Bombyx mori: one gene and its partner. The protein of the gene in region 2 binds, or shares a complex with, the protein of the main gene of each other region. Links are inferred from orthologs where the notes say so. Each region holds a gene or a part of one and is shown on either strand. Other genes may lie near its edges.

Region 1 (4,087 bases), on a different chromosome or scaffold from region 2:
TTATTTTTTCGCAATGCGCTGGATTTGGTGTCACTTCATACGGTACATCGCAAACGATTTATTTTCGGAGAGCGCGGATTGTAGTGTTTTTTCTATTGCTCACAGATTTGCGATATTTTTTAGCACCGAATTTTAATCGTAGTGTGCACTTAGCCCTGTTGTCGTATAATCATTAGTATGGAACTCATTCAAATTATGAAGACATGAAAATGGTTTGGATTTATTATGGTGCAAATAATATGATCTAGCAATAATTTAAATTAATAATTACGTATAGTTTAATTTAATAAAAGTTATCGACAAGCGGTCGCACAAATAAATTCAAATAACTAAAGTGATGCACCTGAACCCACCAATAAAATTGAATCAATACCGTTTTCAAGCCAAAAACTTACTATAAATTGATACGGAAAAACAACATACGCCGAAGATAAAATTTTACATGCGGAAGAAGCTTACCTTGCAACATGATAAGCTTCAAGAGTTCTCATGGCTCGTTTGTAAAAATTACATACTTTTTGTGAATGGCTTCTAAGTTCAGGAGCAAAAGACATTTCTGTAATATTAGAGAACGAACGACAAACAAGCACCTATAAAGTCAAACAATAAGATACCTACTTATACGTAAATGACGTGTATTATTATTATTTGATGCAGACCTATTGTTAAACGTCAAATGTGCCATACTTAATTTTTTTGGAACTATTTCAAATTAAAGCGATTAAATGCAATTTCCAACTTGACATTTCATGAAATTTACGGCTGTTGCAAAGATATAGTTTTTTTACAAATCATGATTTTGAAACACCCTAAATAGTAACAAATCACAAAGTTGCAGTTTGATACTAGTTTAAATAGTTTTCTAGCTGGCGTTCATTAACATTCCATAAAATATAAATTTACGTATTTTTTTCCACTACAATATAGTATATAAAATCGATATTTTAATCTAGTCTGCCTATTGGGAATGTTAAAAGCAACCGTCATAAATATATAAGTAACCGAATGTCGCCGGTCATTTATTAATTATACATTTTTAATTTATTAATTAAATCAACATACTTAAATAACTGAAATTGTATTTTTACTTAAGATACAGGTTTTATCACCTAGTTCAAGCACAGATGCAAATTATGATTGTGTTTCTACTTCTATAATTATTAATTATAAATTGTTAAGAGTCCAGGCAGCCCCCGACCGAGAGCCAGCGCTAAGCTATAAAAACGATCCGTCGCTGCGCCCTTGCCCTAAGTATCGCAATCTATAAAAAAAATCTCAAATGGCTCAATTGACATTTGACAGGTCTATGGTACTTACCGATAAAAAAATTATCAAACTTGCTGTTTGACAAATAAAATTGTGAGATTTAATAGCTTATTTAACTCGCTTAAACCTAATTTTATGAATTAAAAGTATGTAGGTACATTATGTATCAAGAATTTTTATAAGTTAACTTTTAATCAGCGATTAAGATTTGCTTGGTTTAAGTAAGATTATTACTTTAATATTAAATCGAATTAGCAAATATTATCTCAAAAATCACAAAAAATATCCCAATAACCATGAAATAGCCAGTGAAAATCACATTACTAGGGCATAAAATAAAAAAACAAATATTCACTATGTCGGACGCTTGGGAGGAAATACAAGCTGTAAAAAGCAAAAGGAAAAGTTTCCGTGAAAAGTTGGAGAAACGAAAAAAGGAACGCCAAAGTATCTTGAGCTCTAGTTTGGTCAGTGGCGAGAAATCTGATGCCTCTCCTAATAAAGATCGATCACTTGGTAGCCCGGCTTCAAAATCAGAAGGTAAATAAATAAAGTAGATTTAAATTTTATTCTTTTCAAAATGCATATCGAATTCGCAAAATATAGTATTCGTATCGGTACTAAACAGTATCATAGAAAGTAGTAAAGCAAACACGAAGACTAAGCCGAAACACAGGTGGAAAAACTTTAGTATAAAGTTTAGATCTTACTCCCTTTTTTTTTTTATTGCTTAGACGTGTGGACGAGCTCACAGCCCACCTGGTGTTAAGTGGTTACTGGAGCCCATAGACATCTACAATGTAAGTGCACCACACACCTTGAGATATAAGTTCTAAGGTCTCAGTATAGTCACAACAGCTGCCCCACCCTTCAAACTGAAACGCATTACTGCTTCACGGCCGAAATAAGAATACCTAATAATTCACCAAAGAGCAAAACAAACTTTAGTACTAGTCTCTACCAATGCTATTAGAATAAAATACAATGATTTATTATTCCAGCTTCAACTTTGCAAGAAAAGTCAAAACCAATCGTTCCACCAGCATCATTGGAAGTGCGTCTATTACAAGTTCTATCAGATATGCAATTGCAGTTACCTGCTACTGCCAGTGCTCTGCTACCAGGACTTGGAGATGTGGACACGGAGATTGTAGCAAACCTGTTACAGAAGTTTGCAACACAGAAGTTGATCACGTAAGTTTTTAAGGTATCAGGATGTTGATATTATGTTTAAAAATAAGTCATTCCAGGCTTTTCCAAAGTGTTCACAAATTACAGTTTAATTTTTTATTTACATTTATCTACAAATTGGATGCTACAGTTCTAGTTAAAGAATAAATTATTTGAAAATAAAATGTAAAATTTGAAGCAACTAATTACAATAGATGTAAAATATTATTAAATTGAGATACAAACTAGAAAAAAAAGACAGATTAGCTACTTTTTAATTATATTTGAGAGTTTAGTGTTTTAATCATTTTAAGAGTCGTGGTTTTAAATGATAGCCATTTAGACATGCGACACTGCTTTGGGAACATGTAAAAACAAAATGAAAGGAATGTATAACAAAAACAAACATTACATTATTGTGTTTTTACACAGTATAAGAGAAAAAACTGAAGTAACAACAGATGCTGACGTTGAGGTAGTGAGTGCAGAGTCAGGGAGGCTTGCGGCCGTTCTTGCAGCTCTGATGGAAGAAGAAACCACGACAACTAGCAACAAAAGAAAAGGTGAATGTCAAATGCTTATCTCCAAAAAGGTTTGCCTCCACAAACAAATAATGACGATATCCTTTCCAAATAGGTTTAAAGATCTTGTTCTAATACAACTGTTGAATGAAGTGATGGGAACATACCGTTCTTTAGAACGAACAGATCACCTAAAGAAAGCAAAGTGGGAAAGTCAATTATGAATACTGTGAAGTGTCATAAAAATTAAATTGAGTTTATTCATGAATAAACAGCAGTTTTACTCTGTATGACAGGTGAGAGTCCCATTGAAGATACATCAATTACAAAAGCTCCTAAGATGTCCACCGAGGAAAAGAAGTCTGGCAAGAGCGACACAGATATTATGGTAACCATAAAATAAACTCACAAATCTTGTTTTGAACCTGATAGTGCAATTTCACATACATATTGTTAGAGATAGGTAGTACACTATATTAAATGACCATCAGGAAATATATAGGTCATTGTTCTTGTTGAACCCATCGCTTGTGATGAAGGGCTCGGTGAGTAAATTAACCCACAGACACAGCCCACTGAGCTTCTCGCCGGATCGTCTCAGTGGGTCGCATTTCCGATCAGGTGGTAAATTCTGCTAAGCACTGCTCTTGCTAGGGCTAGTGTTAGCAACGTCGTCAGGTTTGAGCCCTGCGAGATCACCTACTTATTAGGGTTAAGCTGAAATAGCCTCTCAAGGTCCTCAGTTTAGGTAGAAAAAAAAGGAAAGACCTATAGGAATCATACACCTTCAGCCAGACTTGAAGTCTGTGTTATATTACAACTGTCAAATCCTTTAAACTGAAACACTGAAGAGAGAGATGATGCTGTTCTAATTCAAAATTAATGTCTCCCTTTCTATAGTTAACTTTATAATGTGTAATATTAATAATTAATTTATAATATTTAATGAATAATATTTGTAATTTATAATGTGTGTGTGCGTGCGTGTGCGTGCGTGTGCGTGCGTGTGCGTGCTTGCGTGCGTGCGTTTGCGTGCGTGCGTGCATGCGTTTGCGTGCGTGCGTTTGCGTGTGTGCGTGCGTGCGTGCGTTTGCGTGTGTGCGTGCGTGCGTGCGTGCGTGTGTAATGAA
Region 2 (2,336 bases):
TGTTTTATCCTGGACTACAAGGTCTGAGCGACACAAGTTTGTTGGATCACCGCGCGCGCGCTCAGCCGTACAATGATAACTTAAGCTTGTGATTTTAATTTTATCTAATTCTCCCGCAGCCGTACATGATTAATGATAACTTAAGCTTGTGATGTACTTGATGCTGGGGATTAGACGTAGTCGGTGACCACTCGTGGTCATTACGTGTTAATCGTGACGTCACAACGATGAGTGTCACGTCATCATGTTCAGTGTGCTTAGTGCGAGTTTTTTAACGTTTTCGATAGCGTAAAAGTTAGCTCATATTTGTATGGAATGGGATCGTTTGCCGCTAGAGGCGTTGTTCCAACTGCATACAAAATTGGGTTAACTTTTACGCTATCCAGAACGTTAACAAACTCGTACTAAGCACACTGACAGTGTTAGGTCGTAGTAGGACGGAGGGAGGAAGGACGCTCCGGCCCGCGGGGAGGGTTACGCAAATAAATAAAACACAAAAAGAGTTTCTACAAGTGTATATCGCGTCCAGTGCGGTCCCCTCAGCGTATGAAGGAGCGGTGCCTCGGGCCGCGCGGTCCCCGGCACGCGCCACCTGCGAACAGTCGGCGGGTGAGTGTGGTGCGGCCCGCGGGCCCCGGGCGGGCGGCGTGTCGGCGCACTCACCCAGCATGTACTGCGGCGCCGGCGGGTAGTGCCCGAAGTGCGGCGCGCCCGCCTCCCACGCGCCGCGCCCGCGCCTGCGGACACACAGTCAACGCGCACGTCAGCGGCGCCGCCACGACAACGCACACGTGCAATGTACAAAAAATAATGCACGTGCATTTTCAACCTTAAAACAGATTGCTCTTGTAATAGTGAATATTGTGTATAAGAGATGCGACATCTTCAATATTTATATTATACTAGCTGATCCGGCAAACGTTGTTTTGCCATATACTAAGATTTCTAGGGAATTTCTAGTGTAGCAAAAAAAAAACAACTTATTGCAAGTGTGTAAGAATTAGGTAAATGAGTAGCCGATTCTCAGACCTACTTTTACGCTATCGAGAAAGTTAAAAAACTCGCACTAAGCAAACTGAACATTAATTAGAAATATGTATATTGCGAGCTCACGAATGTGTGGAACTTAAAATGATAGTTCTATTAGTAAATCCGTTGTCGTTGGCTCCTGCGGCTGGGGCCGGCACTCACGTGTGTCGGTAATGCGCGTGCACCGGCGCCGCCGACGCGAAGCGCCCGCGGTCTGCACCACGCCGCGCGCCCCTGCTGCAACAGCCGAAGTTACACTACGCACGCACACTGCTTTGTAGTAGCATTTCTATCTATTTGTTCTTTACGTTCTGTCCGTGAGACAAATGGGAATTTACATTTCTTCGAAGCGTCAATGTTAGCACGCGCGATACTGCGTGGGGTCAAGGCACTCAGTGGTGCACAACTAGCAGTATATGAGGCTTTTAAAACAATAAGCTTTTATTTTCTACCCAGCAAACTAAAATTGATCCCCGTTTAGTAAATATTCGTTCTAGAAGTCTGAGCGTACCTGCTGAGGTTGGTGTAGGTGTGGTGCAGCGCGGTGAAGTCGTCCACGTGCAGGCTGGGGGGGCGGGAGGTGTTGGGGGGGCGGCAGCGGAACGCGTCCGGCGCCTCCCCCCGCCCCCGCGACACGCGCACTCCCCGTTCCACTGTCACACGACGCACAACTCAACGAGACTGTACATAACTCCTCGTGGGGACAACACACAGTTTGTTCACACGAGGACTACATATATTCGATTTAGCTTTAGCACAACACTGTCTTGTAAAGAGATACACAACTATTTATCCCTATATGTATATGTAATGAATGATTGAATGTCAATCTGTCATATGACAATTGATAGTTGTTTAAATAATTTTTCGGTTAATGGACGTTGTGAAATGTGTGTTATAGAATTATTGAAGAAAGGGCATTAAATGTTGTTTCTTGTTGTTTAGAAGAAACAACATTTAATGTTATATATCGTTCCACCCAGAAGACAGCTGTTGGTTCAAAGAAAAAAATAAAAAAGCTGTGGTAAAAACAGTAAATAATTCAGAATTGGAAATAGAACTGAATGAGAAAAATCCAAAAAACTAGAAATACCACCATTAATAAAAATAAGTTTACAAATAAATGACACTTTGAAGGTTTCTGGAATCTATGACTCTGGATCTAATGTTTCTTTAATTAATGCAAGATTATTGAAAATACAAGAGAAACAGAAGACAAATGATATGCAAGTTGTAAACTTAAAAACTATTAATGGTGAGAAAAAAACGAAAGGTATGGTAACGCTAAAAATAAAAATCTACAATAT

Evidence for each region. The genes of interacting proteins can lie anywhere in the genome.
Region 1: protein virilizer (region 2) and N6-adenosine-methyltransferase catalytic subunit share a complex: the UniProt entries of both Homo sapiens proteins name them as parts of the WMM complex. The link is inferred for Bombyx mori from reciprocal best matches to the Homo sapiens genes VIRMA and METTL3.

Annotation. Positions count from the first base shown.
Region 1 is NC_085126.1:4,836,468-4,840,554, reverse strand, and holds the start of N6-adenosine-methyltransferase catalytic subunit, read left to right. Parts: upstream 1-1,287; 5' UTR 1,288-1,622; coding exon 1,623-1,806; intron 1,807-2,267; coding exon 2,268-2,460; intron 2,461-2,868; coding exon 2,869-2,999; intron 3,000-3,253; coding exon 3,254-3,345; intron 3,346-4,087. Other genes in the region: NADH dehydrogenase [ubiquinone] 1 beta subcomplex subunit 9, read right to left, coding at 460-554. UniProt on the Homo sapiens protein: The METTL3-METTL14 heterodimer forms a N6-methyltransferase complex that methylates adenosine residues at the N(6) position of some RNAs and regulates various processes such as the circadian clock, differentiation of embryonic and hematopoietic stem cells, cortical neurogenesis, response to DNA damage, differentiation of T-cells and primary miRNA processing.
Region 2 is NC_085117.1:6,062,649-6,064,984, reverse strand, and holds the end of protein virilizer, read right to left. Parts: intron 1,683-2,336; coding exon 1,541-1,682; intron 1,267-1,540; coding exon 1,192-1,266; intron 738-1,191; coding exon 664-737; intron 593-663; coding exon 540-592; 3' UTR 501-539; downstream 1-500. UniProt on the Homo sapiens protein: Associated component of the WMM complex, a complex that mediates N6-methyladenosine (m6A) methylation of RNAs, a modification that plays a role in the efficiency of mRNA splicing and RNA processing.